Linked DNA regions of Astyanax mexicanus. The protein of the gene in region 1 interacts with the protein of each later gene in a pairwise test. Links are inferred from orthologs where the notes say so. Each region holds a gene or a part of one and is shown on either strand. Other genes may lie near its edges. The genes, in order: bcar1 and nphp1.

The links.
Region 2: the proteins of bcar1 (region 1) and nphp1 interact in a two-hybrid assay, tested with the Homo sapiens proteins (2 studies listed by BioGRID). The link is inferred for Astyanax mexicanus from reciprocal best matches to the Homo sapiens genes BCAR1 and NPHP1.

What each region holds. Positions count from the first base shown.
Region 1 is NC_064416.1:26,067,049-26,078,137, forward strand, and holds the start of bcar1 (breast cancer anti-estrogen resistance protein 1), read left to right. Parts: upstream 1-7,022; 5' UTR 7,023-7,594; coding exon 7,595-7,606; intron 7,607-11,089. UniProt on the Homo sapiens protein: Docking protein which plays a central coordinating role for tyrosine kinase-based signaling related to cell adhesion. Implicated in induction of cell migration and cell branching. Involved in the BCAR3-mediated inhibition of TGFB signaling.
Region 2 is NC_064421.1:42,785,392-42,796,078, forward strand, and holds the start of nphp1 (nephrocystin-1), read left to right. Parts: upstream 1-5,629; 5' UTR 5,630-5,779; coding exon 5,780-5,845; intron 5,846-6,680; coding exon 6,681-6,745; intron 6,746-6,861; coding exon 6,862-6,922; intron 6,923-7,056; coding exon 7,057-7,175; intron 7,176-7,425; coding exon 7,426-7,651; intron 7,652-10,687. Other genes in the region: mitoregulin, read left to right, coding at 1,089-1,259. UniProt on the Homo sapiens protein: Together with BCAR1 it may play a role in the control of epithelial cell polarity. Involved in the organization of apical junctions in kidney cells together with NPHP4 and RPGRIP1L/NPHP8. Does not seem to be strictly required for ciliogenesis.

The DNA.
Region 1 (11,089 bases):
TATTTCTCTCTCTGCATGTACCTTTTTTGTTCTGTTCTTTTCTCTTTCATTGTTTCTTCTTCTACCACTTTCACTCTTCTATCTTTTCATCTTCTATATATGTGCTCCTTACTCTTAGTTTCTTGTTTTCCCTTTTTTTCTTCAATTGTTCAGTTCTCTCTGTTTCTGCTTCTCTTGCTTCTTTTTCTCTCCCCTTTTTCTATTTTTTTCCTCTATATCTGCTTCTCTTTATATCTGTCCCTCTTTCTTTCTCTGCTATATTTTCATTCTAGGCCCCCCCTTTCTTTTTTTGTCTGTTTTTGCCCTCTATATCTTCTCCTCTTCTTGCCTCACATGCCTTACTTTTTTCTTTCTTACTCTCCCGCAATTTTTCTCATTTCCTCCTTTTATTTTTTTTTATCTTTGTTCCCCCTTTTTTCTCTTTCTCTTTGCATTAGGCTCATTTTCTTTCATTGTGTTGGTCAGGCTGGGCATGGCCTTTAGTTCTGATTTCTGTTTGACTCATTCTTTTCCATAATTTGTTCTTTTTTTTCTTGTTCGTAAAGCAGCATCACAGCTGAAGAAACTGGAGGGGTAAAGCGTACAGAGTGCAGTCCCCCTCTCTGGCCATGGGGCACATGGGTCCTCCTTTTTTGCATGCAGTCTGAGTACAGTAGGTTAGACAGAGCAGGCACAGATCAATAATGCGAGCAGAGTAAAACCCTCACACTGGGATAGAGACTCCTGGCTTGTGGCAGTTTACACTGGAAAAAAGTGGTGTTTTGTTTGTTTGAGTTACATTAGATCTTTTGATATCAACACAGAAGTGTCTTTGAAACATATTAATAGTGATAGCTTTGATGAAATTTATTTATGTGGAAATTAGGGTAAAAATGCAACAGAATGCTCATGTTCTCTGTGTATAAAAGCAGCCTCATGGATCTGTAGGTAGTCATCTAGAATGCCTGATGTATATTTGGCACAAACTTCACATCCAGGCATGTGTAACTGTCTGTCACCAAGTGCAGGGCTTCAAATGAGGCCAGGGTCTTTACAAATAGACACCACTGTTGCGAGGATAATTATAAACAATCGCGGGAAAGTGAGCCAAAAATAACAGCAGGGTAACATGTTCCAAATGCCACTAACCTTCCAGCTCCAGCTCCTTCTGCTCTGGCCTCTGTCACAGTAAAGAGACCCCATTTGTTAATGCGTTGAGATGAACAAACTGTGCAGAAGTCAGTTAGCTGTAGTCTTCCAGCCCAAGGCTTTTTTTTATTTTGATTTCCCACCATGCAGCACTTACAGCAAAAAAATAGATAGATGGATAGATCAAGCAATTTTTAATCCCATGGTTGAATTTTCACATTGCAGTAGCCCCATGTACTTTATAATGTTCTTTTCTATAAAGTATAGATGCACAATGATATCGGAATTATATTTCAACGTCATACTTGCTGACATTTGTTGTATGACATACATGTACCAAGCATTGAAACATGAACGATTTAAAAAAAAAAACAGCAAAAATATGATTTCAAGTTTATCTACACTAGTGTATGTTGCCTCTACACAACAACTTCATTTAATTTTCTGAGATTCTGCTGTGTAAGATTTTAAAAATAAGCTGAAAATATTAAAATTTTCAGAAGCTCTGCATTATTTTAATGAAGTGAGGAAGAGGTTTCTGAGGCAGGAGCTGTTTGAACCCTTGTTCCAGACCCCTAGCACATTTATAAGCTAAAACTATTAAAACTAATTTCACGTTTCCCAAAGGTACAGCGTTCTTCCTAACATACAATGTACTGATTACAGCAAGGAGGTGAGGGATAATACAACTATTTGAAGGTCACAATTGAACCCCTGTCCTTCTGCCCCTGATTAAGTGTATAATTAAAAGCCATTTTCAGTGTTCAAGGCTGCTGCCGTCAGAAATCATCTTTGGGAAAAGATGCCTCTGGTGAGTGAAAGAGTCCATACACTACATCTGGTGAAATAACCATTATTCTGTTCTTCTTTCTTTTCTGGGGTCTTTTGGTTACAGTAATGTTCTAAAATCCAGTGCCTTAACCGTTAAACCATGTACTTCAGTTTTTTTTTTGCCCTCATAACTGCAGTTCTGCAATTCTCAGTGAAATAACAGCAATTTTATATATACCATCATGGAACCCTGTGGGACTCTTAACTGTTAGCAAATGTCTTATAGGCATTTATTCATTATGATTAAAGATCTAGGGTTCAGAAGGTTAATATTACTAAATAATAAAGATAATGCTGCCGTGGTAGGCCCTAAACAATTTTCTTAAGTCCTTGTTTTCTTACTGCACTAGATTTTTAGGGAAAGGGCAACTCGAACTTTTTATAAAGTAAAAAAAAAAAACTTTCGTTTAGTTGCCAGGAGCCAATGAGAAGGGTCTAATTTTTATTTAAAATGGCTGTAGTTCACACACAAGCAGCAATATCAATGTACAACCAAATGCTTAGACCCCCTTCAGCGTCAGACTGAGCATGTGCAGAGTATACTGGTCTGGTTTCAGCTAGGCTTCAACTACAATTTGTAAATTTTGCCAACACAGGTTATTTAGTCAGTTAGTGTGAATTAAGTTAGATGAGGCAATTGGTTTGTTGTACTTAATTTTTACTTTAAAATCACATTAAGAAGAAGAATGTAAAGTTTTTTTTATACACGTTGCACTGAATTAAAACTAAATCAGTCTTGTCCAATCGGAGGAGCACCACATCATCCAGCTAACAGAGAAATCTTTTTCTGTGAATTACTGGTACAGATGGTAAAAATGTCTAGTTAAATAAAGAACGACATTTTGGCTCTGAAAAACACTGGTTCTCCTGTCGATCATGCTGAACATTGCTCCCCTCTGCATGATCTTGTGATGGGAAGCATTATACAGCCGATCCTGACAAGCTGACATCATAACACTGTGAGAGCTTCATTAAAGTGAGTGCTCAAATTTTGACATCTACTACTACAAGCTGTCAGAATGACCTCGTCCAATTTACAGGAATTGTGTTTTCAGCCTGAAGACAAAAACAGATGACTGACGTCTGGAGCACCTAATCTGGGTTCTTCATGAGCTGAAATGTTGCAGTTAGTCAGATAACTTCATGCAAAGTCAGGCTTTATTAAATGGTCACAGAAAATGTTATTCATATTGAAGATCAGATCTCTCATACTCCAGTTCTGTTATGTATATATTTTAATCAAATAATAAACGTGTCCCATAGCTTACATAATAGTGTTTTGTCTTTGGTAATATTTGGTAGCATGATTTTGTATGGTTTTTTTTTTTTTTTTTGACAGAACACATTTCAAACCCCTTGCAAGGTTTATTAGTACAAAAGCATCCAATACTTGGAGCAGCTAGTGGTTTGTTGGCTGTGAGGTTTGACTGCATGTTAACATTTTCTTAGAAAGGGAAAAGAGATCAGATCAAAAGGTTTAGAGAAAAGACCACTGACTTGCACAAACCTGAAAAAGGATACAAAAAGATAGCAATGGCACTGAACGTTCTGACAGACACAGCTGATGCATATTTCACTAGTTCACTGGCTGCACCTTATGGTGGCAGAAAGAGGCAGAAAGAGGACATTATTACTGGCTGACACTAGACTCCTGAGGAGGCAGGTGGTCAAGAATCATTAAGTGACTGCAAAAGACTGTGGCAGCAAACACTGAGCTTTTAGTTTGCACATTGATCTCCATGACCCTATATACCTCTTCTGACCTAAGTCATTAGAAACTGGAAAATTTGATTCAGTATAGATAACTGTTATCAGTGTTGCCTCAGGCAATGGTTTCGCTGTGAGGTGTTTTTGGATGATGCTGTTCATGGATGATGGTTGGATGCAACTTGGACCTTTCAGGAAGTCTGACTCCAGTAGTTTGTAATTTATCACACCCTGTCCCTGATCAGCAGTCGTGTACAGTGGGGAGAACAAGTATTTGATACACTGCTGATTTTTCAGGTTTTCCCAATTGCAAAGCATGTGGAGGACTGAAATTATTATCATAGGTACTCTTCAACTGTGAGTGATGGAATCTAAAACAAAAATCCAGAAAAATACATTGTATGATTTTTAAATAATTAATTTCCATTTTATTGTGGGAAATAAGTATTTGATCATCTATCAATCAGAAAGAATTTTGGCTCTCACAGACATGTTACTTCTTCTTTAAGAAGCCCTCCTGTTCTCCACTCATTACCTGTATTAACTGCACCTGTTTGAACTCGTTACCTGTATAAAAGACACCTGTCCACACACTCAATCAGTCAGACTCCAGCATCTCCACAATGCCCAAGACCAGAGAGCTGTGTAAGGACATCAGGGATAAAATTGTAGACCTGCACAAGGCTGGGATGGGCTACAGGACAATAGGCAAGCAGCTTGGTGAGAAGGCAACAACTGTTGGTGCAATTATTAGAAAATGGAAGAAATGCAAAAATAACGGATAATCTCCCTCGGTCTGGGGCGCCATGCAAGATCTCACCTCGTGGAGCATCGATCTTGAGGAAGGTGAGGAATGAGCCCAGAATTACACGGCAGGACCTGGTCAATGACCTGAATAGAGCTGGGACCACAGTCTCAAAAAAACGATCAGTAACACTCTACGCCGTCAAGGATTAAAATCCTGCAGTGCACGCAAGGTGCCCTTCCTCAAGCCAAAGCCCGTCTGAAGTTTGCAAATGACCATCTGAATGATCCAGAGGAGGAATGGGAGAAGGTCATGTGGTCTGATGAGACAAAAATAGAACTTTTTGGTTTAAACTCCACTCGTCATGTTTGGAGGAAGAAGAATGATGAGTACAACCCCAAGAACACCATCCCAACCGTGAAGCATGGCGGTGGAAACATCATTCTTTGGGGATGCTTTTCTGCAAAGGGGACAGGACAACTGTGTGAAGGATGGATGGGGCCATGTATCGTGAGATTTTGGCCAACAACCTCCTTCCCTCAGTAAGAGCACTGAAGATGGGTCGTGGCTGGGTCTTCCAGCATGATAACGACCCAAAACACACAGCCAGGGCAACTAAAGAGTGGCTCCGTAGGAAACATTTTAAGGTCCTGGAGCGCCTAGCCAGTCTCCAGACCTGAATCCAATAGAAAATCTTTGGAGGGAGCTTAAAGTCTGTGTGGCCCAGCGACAGCCACGAAACCTGAAGGCTCTGGAGGAGATCTGTATGGAGGAGTGGGCCAAAATCCCTGCTGCAGTGTGTGCAAACCTTGTCAAGAACTACAGGAAACGTCTCATCTCTGTAATTGCAAACAAAGGTTTCTGTACCAAATATTAAGTTTCTTTTTCTGGTGTATCAAATACTTATTTCCCACAATAAAATGGAAATTAATTATTTAAAAATCATACAATGTATTTTCTGGATTTTTGTTTTAGATTCCATCACTCACAGTTGAAGAGTACCTATGATAAACATTACAGTCTTCCACATGCTTTGCAAGTGGGAAAACCTGAAAAATCAGCAGCGTATCAAATACTTGTTCTCCCGACTGTATAAACCACAATGACTTAAAAATTCATGATTACAAGACAACAGGTTGTGTAATGCGAGCAGTAGCCTTAAGCAGTCTGGTCACTTGAAAGTCAGTGTGTGTACATGGCATAAGCAGTGCTCTTATATTCTCTACACTGAGAACATGTTGTGAGTGAAAGGAACTGTGGTACTAAGGTGAATTCTAAATTTGTAACATTCTGAAACCCCATCATCAAACACGAATGAGCATGCTCTTCAATAGACATGCAATGACTAGTAAAGTTTATTGCAACTTCCTGCACAGTGATGAAGCATTGTTCAGTCCTTCCTGCACAGTTTGTTTCCTTTCAACTCAATGTTTTTTCATCACCTGACATTCGAAACTACTCTTAAAATGTTTGAAGACCAGTGTAGTTCACTTTACATGAAACAACTAGGGTGTCTAAATGCGTATTACACCCTAATACAACAAGGTGTAGACTATATACTATATACTAATACTATAAACTAATTCTAATATATGGTATGTATTTATTGGAGTTTGATATTTTAGGTGGCCTACAAGAATGATCAGGCTAAACAAGGTAGATACCATGACCAAGCCGATCTTCCACAGCAGGACCATTTAAACCAAGCTGGCCAACCAGCATAACCAGTATTATCAGCATGACCAGCATTACCAAATTGGTTGACCACCATAACCTGCATGACCAAGCTGGTGGTCCACAGCCAGCATGATCACCAAGACTTAGCTGGTTCATTAGCCTTGACCAGAATCATCAAGCTGGATGACTAGCATGACCAAGCCAAGTTGATAGGCATGACCAAAATAAAATGCAACATACACCATGCTTGTTAACCTGTTGCTTAACAATATATGATATATGGTCCAACAGGACCCATACAAACACTCAAAGGCTGACCAATTCCATGTATGCATTGTGCATATTTGTGTATACTCAACTTGATCTTGACTTGGACTTGACATATCCTGATCCTGGTCTTGGTCTTGATTTGAACTGGACTTGGCAGTTTTGACTACAATGATGTTATTCAATTAGTACACATTTGGGACAGACCCCTCATACTGTCAGTTCAGGTCACAAAGTGTTAGAATATTAACTTATTAAAATATTAGGACCATGCCCTCACTGTACTCTGTCAAACATGTGTTTAACTGTTTTCTAGCCACACTTTAGGACTGTGCTGTGTTGTGTTCATTAAAAATTTACTGGAAATGTTTAATATTTTATCCTGTGAGTTTAGCATCAGGTGGATTTCACTGTTTATTTATCGATATTTCCTATTGAGTTGTTAATCAGTACGGTTTCCTGCCTGGATGAAGGTGTGGATGAAACCACACCACTGCTTATAGCAAGAGACTGTCCCTTTAAACTGAAGTTGAGAGAGAGACACAGAGAGAGGGGATATAGAAAGAGAGAGATACTGAGAGAGAAAGAGTGAGAAACTAAGAGAGAGAGACAGAGATACTGAAAGAGGCTGATAGAGAGAAAGAGAGATATACTGAGAGCAAGAGATACTGAGAAAGACACTGAGAAAGAGAGAGATATTGAGAGACAGATACTGAAAGAGAGAGAGAGAGAGAGAGGGACTGGCTCTGGCTCTGCAGCGAGTTGACAGGCTCCAGCTCCGCACAGCCGCAGTACTCACGCGGTCAGTGAGTGTGCGCGTGAACTAGCGGTGAAGCTAGCGGTCAGTAACGGCAGCGCGCGGGTCTCTCGCTCGTGTTTTCGTGCGGGTGGTGAGGCTGTGGAAGGGAGGAAGGGACTGGAGCTCTGAACGCTTCCCGTTTGAGGTGGACTGCGCTCTGCTGGGTGGGAGAATATTCCTGACACTAACCTCTCAGCAGCTTCAGAGAGAGAGAGAGAGAGAGCGCCGCGGAGCCCCGGTTTATACAGCGGACAGCATGGAGTAGAGCTGCACTGACCCACCGACCGACCGACCGCGACACCAGCTCACACATTCCGCGGGGTTATCTCTCTCTCTGTATCTTCTCTGTGTGTGAGAGCGCTCTTAAACACAGCCAGAGCGGAGCAGCCTGGTCGGGTACAGTCTCCAGAGAGCTGCAGTGGACTGGGAAGGACCACAAGATGTCTGTACCGGTAAGAAATGATGATAAAATTAACTTATTGTTATTATTTATCTGTTAGAACAGTGAAGCTGCTCTGCTTGACTGTAGCTGAATTCTGAGAGCTGTTCCTCTGACTTTCTCCAGCACCTTACTAACAAACAGCTTCAGCTTCACAGTCCCCACAGACTCTACCTGCTGTATTTACATAGATATCAGCCTACTGGACTACTGCTCTTATTATAATACATACTGTGTTATTATATTACTGTACTGAATTCTATACAGTACACTTAAACAAGTAATTCTAGAATTGATTGTACATTTCACATTTCCCACATATCTCATTTGTATGGTATTTTTACTTTTTTGACCAGTTCTTAAAAATATAAGCCAGTACCTAGCTGGCATTTTAACGATGAAATGCCAGTTTATGGTTGAACGTTTTATTTGGTGTTGATTTTAAAAAGTGAGTCAACATTGATATTGCAACGTTGTTTCAGCGTTGTACGTTTAAACTTTACTAAACCCTAGCTCACTAAAACTAAAAAAAATCACATGATTAACAAAGTGTTAACCATAAACCATCACTACCAATCTGATTCAACATCTGATCTCAAAAACACAATACAAATAGAATGATGAAGGTATGATGAAGAATTGGTGCCCAAATAAAAATGCAATCACAGCAAATTGAAATTAAACCACTTTTTCATCCCTCCATTCAACCGTTTTTTTAAATTGTACACAGAAAAGGCAGAAAGTTGAAAAAATTATGTTGATTTACTGTTAAAATGTTAAAGTTTTCACAATTATTTAACACTAAATGTTGTTTCAACGTTGTTCCAACGTTGAAACAACAACAGACATTACTTCAAACATATTTCAACCACATTTCAACACATTGAAGGTCCCTTGTGTGCCAGCTGGGTAATAACGTTCAGGTTACACTATAAATAATGCTTGAGTTTTCTTTTTACCACAATTTATACACAACCCACTGTCTTCCTATTGATATGTTTGTACTAGGTCTGCGCAATATATAATTTCTGTACAGATAACGCAATGTACACATGCAATAGTCACACCACAGGACGTGCAATGATTTCTGCACTGTCAAATTTAAAAAGAAAAAAAAAAAACATGACCAAAATGTAATGCAACATACACCCTGCATGTCAATCTGTTGCTTACCCAGTGCCCATATACACACACTCAAAGGCTGACCAGTTCCATGTATGCGTTGTGAATATGTGTACCGGTATACCCAGCTTGGTCTTGACTTGGACTTGACATGTCCTGGTCTTGGTTTTGACTCGGACTCGACTCTGGTGGTTCTGACTACAATGCTGTTATTCAATTAGTACACATTTGGGACAGACCCCTCATACTGTTAGTTCAGGTCACAGAGTGTTAGAATAGTAATTGATTAAAATATTATGACCACGCCCACACTGTTCACTATCAGACAAGTGTGTGTTTAACTTTTTTCAGTAATAATAGCTACTATTTACATTCAGTTTGCATTATTATTAATTATTATAACGGATTGTTAAAAAGAATAAATACCAGTACATCAACATTGATCTAATATATTCAGGTGAATATATTACCTGCATTTTAGCAAAATACATTTTTTAAATGTTTTTGCTGATACAAAGAAAAAATCATACTATTCTAGTTGTACATGACAATATCTAACAGATTGATGATTATATATACCCAATATCATTTGTTTTACTCTAACTAATGATACACATATTTCATTAATAACATTTACATGCTGGTTGATTTGCTTTAGGTGAAAATTCCTGTGTTTCTTAAAATTAAAATATACATCACAGAACAACTAAATATGACAGTTTTTAGTAAACAATACAATCCTGTGTTTAGACGTGCTTTGTGAAATCAGTTTGGTGTTATGGCACGAAATTGTGGAAAATGTCAATTATTCATATTGACGACTCAATAAGATAACGATATTAATGATTTAATTTTTGAATGGGCCAAATAGGCTGTTCCATGAACATGGCGTGTCTGTGATTCCCATATCAGGCAGCTCAGACCTGTAGGGAGTTGTGTTATCTCTCATCTGCTGTGGAAACTGGCCTGGGTGTTGTTATGCTGCAAACTGGCTGATACCAGCTGGAGAGTACGGTACGAGATTGGATTTCCAGAGCTATTACTCTGCGTATACAGTACCAACCCCCATAAATAAATCACTGTACTGACAACAGTAGAGGGAAAAGCCAAATCCTCATTCAGTGTTCTGTCCAGCCCGGAGACAAACAAATACATAATTGGCAGAAAGAGGCTCATTGGTTGTATATGCCAAATATGAGCTCGTTTGTTTGTCACAAAGAGGTGCTTTTTAAATTATGACTACATTCACTGAGCCACTGGGTTTTACAACAAACATTTGAAATAGTTAACATTAACAATGAGCTCTCAGGTGCTGACATTCATTATTCGTTTTAATACATGTGTGGAATAACTTATGGTTACACTGTGTAAACTCTATATGTAGAAACTAATCATAGAATAGTGTGGTTATAATACTTTTTACAGTGCATTCTGTTTTTTTTTTTTACATTTTGGTGATACTGTGTGTGATATAGTGTTGACTGTCTAGATTTTGCTTGTTATAAAAACTCTTTAGAATACATACTGGTTCTGCACTGAGTACATCATGATTATACTTTGTAGACTATAGTCACACAGTCTTACATATTCTTAAATATGGACTATTTAAGATTGGAATACTTGAATCTTGAATATGTAGATAACCCCATTCCGGCAGCTGGTCCCAGTCTGCACCAGTTGGCCACTGTGCAGCATTAAGGCTGCGTTTTACTCAAGCCGTGTGAGATTTAGTGAGTGGCCCTCAGGGACACAAAACTTTAGAAGCTTGCCAATTACAGAAATAGCACTCTGCCTGCAGAGAGACAGAGCAAGGCAACATGCCTTATTTTGTTTCCTGCCCGTTTTCCGGAGAATCCCACCTCCTGCTTACAGGCAGTAAAATGTTAGTGAGGATGACCTGCTAGCCAGTCAGAGCACAGGTGGGTGGGTCCTCTCTAAATACAGGTGGGGGGAAACAGACTGCGGTGTCCCTTGGGGCAGAGAGGGGCTAATTCGGGTCCTGTCTGTTTAAGTAGCAACCAATATAAATGCTGCAGAGGTTTGTGGAGTGCTGTGTAGAAGTAATGTGGAAGTATAACCTGGTTCTCTGGTGTTCACCACTTCAGGCTATGTGCTTGGGAAGATATATCAGCCTATATCTTTTACATTCCATTTGTTCATTGTGGAATCTTCTGTGTGGTGAAAACACAGCTCTGTGCATGTGCTAGCTTGATTGAGTTGCAATAACATGCTTTTTGCGTCAAGATTGCATCTTACTACCATTTGGCCAGATGCCTTTCATATCTTGTAAATGTGTGAGCAAGTGGAAAACTGCAGCAAAAACATCAACGAAACATCTGTATTCTCCATCTCCTGTTGGAACATCTCAATGTAG
Region 2 (10,687 bases), on another chromosome or scaffold:
ACTCTACCTCATAAAGCTGACTGAGAAAATGCAAAGATGGGCAAAGCTGTCATCTAAGCAAGAGGTGCCACTTTGAAAAGATTTTGTTTACAAAATAATGTTATATGTTTTTTTCCATAGTTTGAATGAATTGAAATTGAAATAATCCAGTTTTGGGTTTATTTATGAGACAGTTACTCCAAAAAAATCAGAATAAACGTTTTTGAAACCACTGATTTCTAAGCAAGTATATTAAGACATATGTACAATCATACACAACTTTTGTGAGTATCCCGAAATGTGATCAACAAATCCCCCGCATTGTCTAACATCACACTGTGCAACATGAAAAATGGTGGCTGCAAGGTTTGTTCACACCTGCTTCTTGGGGAAACTGCAGAGTAGTCATTTTGAAATGAGTAATAATAAAATAATATTCACAAACAACCATTAACAGTGGCTGCACTGTTAAAAATTAAAAAAATATTTTTACCATGCAGTACTGTTTCTGTTGTTCTTAGCCATGTAAAAAGGTTAAAGCCACCTCAACTTGGGAACTCAGGTATCAGAATATTCCCACTAGAAATGATCTTACATTATTACATTACACAACACTTAAACATCACATGAATGCAGTCTTAATGAGATATAATCGTGATCAATTTTAGCCCATAAGAACCCAGACCCAGTTGTGAATATTGATGCAAAAAATAATAAACAATGTGCAATTAAATATTTTTGTTCTTTTACTTATATGAAACAACTATTTTCATTCTTACTTATAACCTATATATAACCTAGTTAACTAAATAGTAGTATTATTTTTTTCGCGATTGTGATGTTGCGTTTGAACCTTAAGGCTTTCTGTAGTCCCCCTGATCACGTGGCCCTTTATAGGACGCATCCCAAACGGCTTCTTGCTCCCTATCTAGAACACTAAAACGCGAAATGAAATCTCTAAAAGGCATCTCGAGACTCTTTAGTGCACTACACGTCAGTGCAGAAGGCGTTTGAGACTCGCCCACAGCTAGACGCCCTCTCTCAGGCTGTTCGCTGCAGCGCGCTGGGGAGCAGCTGGAGATATTTGGAGTGCCGCTGCGGAGGTGAACATGGCCGACGTGTCGGAGAGGACGTTACAGGTCGCTATCCTGGTCTCGTTTGCCACGGGCTTCGTCGCGGGCTGGCAGGCCAACAGGATGCGCAGGAGGTTCCTGGACTGGCGGAAGAAACGGCTCCAGGACAAGCTGGCGGAGACGCAGAAGAAGCTGGACCTGTCGTGACCTGCGGGGTCAGGTCTGATAACTGCCGGCCTGGTGAGAGCTGGGCTGTGTCCCATTAAGACCCAGAGTTCTAAACTAAAAACAACAAAACTGTCCATAAATGTTAGTGAATAAGCTGTTATGGGTTTTAGATTTACACTCTGTACAGTTGTCACTGTTTACTGTAGGCCTGGGTTCACAGTGTTTGAGGTGTCTCACGATACGATATTATCACAATACATTGTTCACGATACTGTTTTCAATTCTCTACGGCACTTTGCGGCAGTAACTTAAGTAAGTCTTAGGGCCTTTAAAGCTCTTATGTTTCTAAAAAGCTCAACGTCTAACTCCACGTATTCATAATGTCTCACGAACGAAAAAAAAATACACTATATCAAGATATTAATATTTTTCTCCCACCCCTAAAATTTGACATTTTTAAAACTTTGTTTATCGAGTTTTTAAAGTACTTGGCATTTATATAAGTATATAAGTATACTCACAACTTGCACAGTATAAATGCATAACCATACATCAAGATTTAGTAATGAAGTAATAGGCAAATAGGCCAGTACAAAGGCCCAAATATTGAAAAGGCTAACATGGAAATCAAAAACGGAAAGAAGAAGGGAGGAAAAAAAAGGTTCAACTAAACCAAAAACTTGTTTCCTTAACAAGTGCCAAATTTCTTCTCCACCCATTAACTTCCTATCATCCCAACATGCATCCAGTCTCCTATATTAAAAACAAAACCCAGTGAAATTAGATTTTAACACTTGCAATATATGTATCGTATTAACAGCCAATTAACAGCCCTGTTGTTTATTATTTAAATAAATATTTGATGCCACATATTGATACAAGACAATACAATATGATCGAAACAATACAACATTATATTGTGCCCCTAATAATTATATATAACTGAATTGGGGCTGCAGAGTATATTGTATAGTGCAATGTTAATGTAACATGCCTTATACAAAATGCCTTATACAAAATGAAATTCATACCAAAGAATGATTTTAAATCATTGTTTTTTTGTTGGTGCATGTGCTAGCATATTAAAAATGTTCAGTGTTCAATACATATTTTTGTTTTGTGGTTTTACCACACTATCAAATTTTATTACTTTTTTAAGTAACAAAACCTGAGAAAAATGTTTTGTTTAATAAACTAGTTCAGTAATTACCCTCAAATAGTTAAAACAGTCACTCAAGAGGAATTCAGACTCTACATTTTTATATTTCTACTGTCCAATGAAAACCATGCATCTCCATTTCTATCCATTTTAGCTGCTCAGAATAAATCTTTCAGGAAGAATATATCAGTATAAATGCTCTAAAATGTAAGACTACTGGGAAAAATCTCTTATTTTCATTTAAATTTCTTTCATTTCATTTCATTTCCTTCCATGTAAAGTCCTCATTTTGGCTTAAAGCTACTGTCATAGGCTACATGGAATTGAGAATAACTGGTCACTGCCAGCTCACCCATACCCTTTAATGCAATAGAAGACCCAATTAAGGTCATTTTCACTTCACTAAAATATGATCTTAAATTTTGTCCTTTAGGCCGCATGAAATCAATGGTGTCCTTGCCCTGCTGAGACCCCCTTCGACCCCTCTGACCCCTTTGATGGACTCAACTCTGGATAAGAAGTCACCTTCAGCTGTTCTGCCAATCTTCTGTTCCCTCCTGAGACCTTTAAACACTATGCACACACTGCAGTGTTGCATTGCAGTGCAGTTCTCAAAAACATATTTTTTATGGGGATAAATGTTTTATTTTGTTGTTTTTTAATAACAAGTTGTTTACAAGGTATTATTCTAAGCCATAATATTGCTGTTAATAAGCTTGTACCATCATGTTGGAATAAAATAAACTATTTTGTTACTTTAAATGTATGCTATTGTATTAACTTGTCCACAAGAAACGCTGTATTCCTGAAGCACTGCAAAAATTATAAGATGTTTTTTGTTGTTAAACTGTAGTTTGATTTTTTTTTTTTGTCAATATTACAAAAAAAAAAATCTGTTTTTCTGTTTTTTATAGATTGTGTACTGTCTTCCAGAATCTGCTATTGATTAATTGAATCCATTCTCCCATCTACCAGAATCTAAACACCAGCCAGTGTGTTCATGGCAAATCAATGTGAAATGATCAGAGTTGCAATGAGGCCTGATGGTGGGTGCTAGATGGTTGGGACATCCCTTAATCCATAGTGTCACATGTGGATTATCAATGCAGTTTGTCATAGGACAGAGGTTGCTAACTTGGAGGTCATAACCCTCAAGAAGGTCCTGTCATAGTCCCTGGGACCACAAGAAAAAAAAAGAACATTGGGTACAAAACCTCATTATTTCAGTTTTTTTTAGTATATTAAAGAAGAAACTGGTTTTAATTAATTTTCCATTCCTGTTTTCATGTCTGTTCCCAAAATATACTTTTCTTGATTCAATTTTATTTTTGCATATCGTATCAAAAATCAGATGGTATAATCAAATGTATTTTTTCCTGAAATTAAGATTGTAATGGGCAGAAAAAAAGTTTTACACTGAGTCTTCATGTTCTAATTTAGCCTGATATGGTCACTAAATAACTGATTAATGTTACACTGACCCTGGTTGACCAGCATGACCAGAGCCAAATGCAACACATTCTTATTCAAGTCAAGAGCTGGCTAACCAACAAGCTTACCAGTATGGGGGTATGTTATGCATTACCAGTTTTTAAACCACCTTGGCCATTAAAGGCATCTACCAGCACAAGCTGCTCTTCAGGTGGGGTTTTTCAGCAGGAGAAAGTGCAGCTGTTTTATCTGCTGAATCGGTCAATTAAGGCTGCCATCTAGTGGCTGAGAGGAGCAACTGCTTCCTCATAGTATACATAGTATAGCATGGTATCTAATAATGACTTATTATCTTATAATTAGATATATAATTAGACTTAGTAACTCGATATTATGACTTAGCATTTTATAATTATGACTTAATATCTCGTAATAATGACAGTATCTCGTTATAATGGCTCTGCATCTCATCCGTGTGACTTAGTACCTCAATATTATGACTTAGCATTTCATAATTAGACTTAATATCTCGTAATAATGACAGTATCTCGTTATAATGGCTCTGCATTTCATAAATATGGTTTAGTACCTCAGTAATGACTTACCACTTTATAATTCTAACATAGTATCTCATAATAATGGCTTAGTATCTCATAATAATAAATTAGTACCTAATAATTTTGACTTAGTAAATCATAATTTCATCTTGGCATCTAATAACAACTAAACGTTTTACTTCTTACTGACATGGATAAATTATATGTGCTCTTCTACGAGTCTTTAATGTTTTTGTAAGATTTATCATTGTAGCTTACCATAATGTAAAAAAGTTGAGTTTACGACATATTAAAAAATCGCCTGTGCGCATTTCTTTTTATAGCTCATGAATATGTATGAGCTTTCGACCAATCAGGGATGGCCATGCCTGTTCCTTAGGCAACTATTTATTTACACACCTCTAACTTAAAAAGCACTCACACAACAAGCTATAAACCACACGATAAGCCTAATACTTTTAGGACTGGCAGGAGGTGCATTGCAATACCAACCTACCTCACTGTAACTTCTTTTAAACGCCTATTACAGTAAAATCAAGATTTTACTACTTTAATAGTTCCCAATGAGTAACATAGCTTAATCATAATAAAGAATAATGATGAATAAATATATTAAGAAATACATTTAAAATATTTAAAATATATTTTGTTGATGTTATGTAAAAAATCTAAAAAAAAAAAATTATTATAAATTAAAATGCTCTAACTTATTTTTATTTTTCAGTAACATTCAACATTGTCTTAGCAACCCCTACGCTATTGTTGACCAAGTGATTTTATTATTTTAATAATGAGTGAACTTAGTACTGTATGTGTGCATATATTTCAGTAAGTTAACTACTTTTTTATTTAGTTTTACCTTTCATTTGCACACTTTTTTGTTCCTTATCTGTAAATTGTTCCTCCTAGCTCGTATATATATATATATATATATATATATATATATATATATATATATATATATTCATTCGCACATCAATTTAAACTTTTTAGCACTTTTTTAGCGCAAATAAATATACACTTGAATCAATACAGGCCTCAAATATTTTTAATGAATCGGTTCAATGAATCAAACCACCATCGATTGAACATTTTAATTACTGAAATATTCCTCTGTTGCTATTAATTAATGAAGACTGAATGATAAGTTGTTAATTTATTTATTATGAATCACACCCTGTTACAATTATTTATAAACATTTCTCCAAAACCACAACGAAGATTCGATTAAAAAAAAGAATCGGTTCAAATGATCCGAAGAGTTGGCCATCACTCTTAGCAACCATCTGCGGCGTCCTCCACAGAGCGGTGTGGGATTCCTGTGTTAAAGTAAATCAGCGCTGATTTAACGAGGTTTTAACCGGTTATGGGACTAATTTTGACTGGAGGTTTTGTAGGAAGAGTGGAATAATATGGCTCCGAGAAAGAAAGGTCCTCTGCAAACGGTGCAAAAGGAAACAGACGACATTAAAAAACGGGTTTGTATCAGGTCCTTTCATAGAGAGATAGAGAGAGAGAGAGAGAGAGAGAGAGAGAGAGAGAGAGAGACCCCGCTGATGTGGTGCCGTGTTTTGTACAACGGAGAAATCCTACACCCCCTGGTTTTGATTGATTGCTTCTGAGGACCAATGCTGTAGTTCCCGTCATTGCCTGTTTATTTTAGGACGTGTTTTCTATAGATTTAATTGACCTTATTTTTACATATAAGTAAATATATATGTAGGAGCACAGTGGCGTGTCATCTGACTCATTTTATTGTGTGTATTGTACTTTACTCTGGTTTAGTTTTACCCAGGCGTTTTTAAAATCAGGCAGCCAATATAGCTCATAAATGGGTCCTTGAGATGCAGGGTATGCCAAAAAAGCACAAAATGGCACAACATCAGTTATGTTAAGCAGATTTTCCGAACGTTTTTTTTTACGTTTCAGTTGTTTATTGGGTTCAGTATATGTACATAAAGGAAAGAGTTTATCCGTTCATTACCCAGATAGACAGCAGAAAGACGTTGAAACAATGTTGAAGTTTGTGCACATCGATTTTTACATTGATTTAGCACTGATTCAACGTCAGGGTTTAAAATGTATTGGTAGTATTTCAATTTTGTTAAATGAAATATGTAAATATATGTTTGTATTTTATTGTTATAGCTTGTACTATGTTTTTGCGGTGTAGACAACTACTATTTACTACGATTTTAACAACAATAATAACAACAACAACAACAATAATAGTATTATTGTATCAATATTTATCATTCAGTGAAATCAGTTTTTAATGCTGTGGGCTGTTTATTGGTTTTACCTGTGCTGTAGGTCGACGCTTTGGTGCGGGATGTGAACAGACTGGGTGTGTCTGAGGGAACAGAGTCACTACAGAGGTACAGAGAGTTGGATTTGAGTTGGATTCTCTCTTTATTATTCTTTATCAAACATATTAGTTGAACTTTTTAAGACTTGCTACTGATTTTTACTTTGGGTTGATTCCTCTTTACAGGTGTTCAGAGCTGCAGAACACAGTGACTGCGACTTTGGAGAGGCTCAAGAAGTTAACGAAAGTAATATTTCTCTATATATTTGATGCACTTTAAAACAAAAAGGCGTATGACTGGAGTAAATGACTAAAATAAGTATGAGTGATGGTGTCTCTTTGTTTTTTTGTCACTCTCTTTTTCTGTCGCTCTGGGTTCAGGCGGAGGAGTCAGCTCCAATAGGGAACTATGAGCAGCTTAAAAGAGATGAAGAGGAACGTCTCAGGGCTCAACAGGACCGACTGAAAGCTCTGGCACAGAAGCTGCAGCCTGAGGACAAGTACAGTATAGAATTCTTTATTAAATTCCAACACAAACAGTGGAGACCTCCTAGAAGAATCAGGGTAAAAAAAAAAACAAGGTCAATAACGAGAGAGTAAACATAGGCAAGGAATAAACACATTGTAAAGTGGTAGACCAACAAAACTTAGCTACTTCTTAGAAAACGAAATAGTCTCTCTCTGTATATTACAATACTAATGATGGAATAAGGATCCAGTTTGTTCACAGCCTCTGTAATTCACTCCCAGCTCAACGGAGGGTGAGGAGGACAGTGCTGAAGAAGACAGCGAGGAGGAGGATGAAAGCCAGGAAGAAGATGAGGAAGATGATGTTCACAATGATAAAACCAAAGAAGATGCTGCTGACGATGAAGTTGATGAAACTGCACAAAACTACACAGCTAGAAAGGGCATTAGAACCTATGTGGCTCTTAGTGACTTCACAGGAGAGGAGGAGGGGGACCTTACTGTACAGGTAATTAAAAATACACACATTTGCTCATATTTTTCAACATTCCTCATACCAAATTTTCATAAACATGAAAGTATGCTTTTAATACTATGATGTTTTTTTTTATTTAAACCTTTGAAAAATGTGGACTTGCTTACACTGTCACCAATGTACTGAATACATTACATTGAATCATAACCCCTAGATTGTGATATGTAGTCTATCGTTGAGATCTTGCCAATAAACAGACCTAATGTCGTATGGTTTAAAAATTCGTCTCAGATCACCTCCTGAAGGGGTTTGAGCGACTGGACTTGGTGTTGTATCTGTTTGAACTGTTATGGGTGTGTTTTTACTTGAGTTTTTCAATGTGGCTTGGTCTTTCCAGATATAATCCTGATACATAAGAGTTCCAAAATGACAAAGTATAAATGGGGTCACTTAGGTCCAGTGTTGGGCACGTTACTTTGAAAAAGTAATTAGTTATAGTTACTAGTTACTTCTCCAAAAAAGTAACTGAGTTACTAACGGAGTTACTCCACTATAAAAGTAACTAGTTACCAGTAAAAGTAACTATTGCGTTACTTCGCCCTGTAAAAATAAATAAATAAAGAATAAATAAAGAAAATAAATGATGTAATTACTATTATTATTAGAAAAATAACAAACAAAAATAAACCCAAAATGTTGACAAAAATATAGTCTAACGAATAAAAAAAAATAAGAAACGAAAAACTCCACAGGACCAAAGAAAATTACTAAGACATGTAATACTGAAAAAAAACGGAAAAAACAAGTACACGTCTGGGGATAAAAATTAAACAAACCAAACCACACTCAAAGAAATAAATGTATATATAAACAAAACAAAAGAATGGACAAAAACAACAATCCGTTAAAAAAACTCATTTAAATCCATTAAAAAACTCATTTAAAACAATCACAGGCTTTTTGCGCAGAATAATAAAAGTTTCGGTTAGTTTCAGTTTCAAATCATGAAAACAGCTCACCAAAACCTCAACCTATCCTTTATATTTGACAATATTTGATTAACTTACAGGTCCTTACTTATTTTTATTTAACTGAACTGAGTTGTAAATTATTTATAGCCTCGCGCTGAATTCAGCTCTGTGCTGCGAAAGAGAGAGAGAGAGAGAGAGGCGCAGCGCATTTTGCCTGATTTCTCTTTATTAATTAACAGTACATTTGTTGGCTTTAGTAAGTTTAATAACATTAATTTTAGTATACTTGTCAGATCTTATTTATAAAAACTTTTTTTAGAAGACAGAGGTTATTCTGCGCGCAATGCCGCGCCGCTGCGCCAAGCACCACTTTGCGTGCCTGACATTTCAGAGCGCTGGACGAGATTTTAATTCATGAATTAATATATTTAATATTTTAATAAATTTGCCCTGGTGATAAGAAACGAATGCTAACATATAGCGTTATATTTCTGTGTATTTCAAATGTTTTAAGTTTTATATAATTGACGGGCAGCACCAGCGCCAGATTGACAATGTGCTTTGTTTTTCAGATATAAAAGTGAAATTCAGTTAAATAATAGCAAAGTTAACTAAAATAAATTTATGTTCAGTCAAAGTTATTTTCTCTTTTAATTTTCCATTTCAAAACTCCAGCATTTGAGTGAGAATAAGCATCTGTTGAAATTTTTAAACAGCAGAATGCCTAGTTACAGTTATTTAGTCTGTGTACTAAACATAAATATAAATCCTTATAACTGACAGAAATAAATATAACTAATAATAATTTATAGTTACAGTGCAGATTTTTAAGTATATATATTTTTTCATAGTTGATTGCTGAAGGCTCTGGGTGTGGTTTATTTTTATGTGGTAAAGATGTGATGGTATGGAGTATTTTGGAGCGCAGGGTGAGCAATCGCGCTAAGCTTTTTTCCGCCGCCAAGATAAAAACACGCCAGAAATTTACCTCAACACACATCATTTCCAGACCACCACGCCCATCGGTGTTAATATATTCCAAAGTCCAACGCTATTTTAAGGACGCGTGCAAGGCCTAAAAATAGACTGTTGACGGTGGCAAAGCGCCACGCTACACGCCTTGTGCGGGGTGTATGATAGGGCTCTTTGTCTGTATGCGCAAAGTTAAAAAAAAGTTCATTCAGCTGCTAAAGTAACGTGCAGTAACGGAGTGTCGAAAATGGTAACGGCGTTATAGTTACAGTCAGAGTAATTAGTTAGATTACTCGTTACTGAAAAAAGTAACGGCGTTAGTAACGCCGTTTATTTTAACGCCGTTACTCCCAACACTGCTTAGGTCAGGTACTGATGTTGGTTGATTAGCTCTGAATGTATTGAATCAGGCTTCTTTTCCCGTGAGAACACCGTTCCAATGCTATAAAGGGTTACCCAAGCTGCATTTACAAGAAAAAGTAGGAGAACTCTTTGTGATTACTTGGATTTATGCATAAATTGGTCATTAAATATATTACGATCTTTATCTATAGCACAACAATAGACAAACACAGTCTGCTTAAACTAATACCATAAAACTGTATGTTTGCATGTTTTTACTAAACACTACATGTTAAGATTCACAGTGCAGGGTGTAAAAAGTATGTGAAACTTTTTTTGGATTTAATAACTGGTTGACCCCTACTTTGGCAGCAATGCACAACAGTCAGGAGGAATTTTGGACCATTTCTCCTTACAAAACTGGTGTATCTGGTGTGAATCATGTGCTCTCTTGAGGTCATGATGCCACAGCATCTCAATTGAGTCGAGGAGGTCAGGACTCTCCAGAAAGCGCTTTGTTTATTGTCTTCTGTTGAAGCCACTCGGTTGTTGATTTACTTCTATGTTTTGGGTCGTTGTCCTGTTGCATAATCCATCCTCTGTTGAGCTTCATTTGGCGGACAGACGGTCTTAAGTTTTCCTGCAGAATGTCTTGATTATCTTGAGAAATACATTTTTTCGTTCATGACGGCAATCCGCCCAGGCCCTGAGGCAGCAAAGCAAAGCAGCCCCAAACCATGATGCCCCCTCCACCATGTTTCGTTATCTTAGATGAAGATCAGAA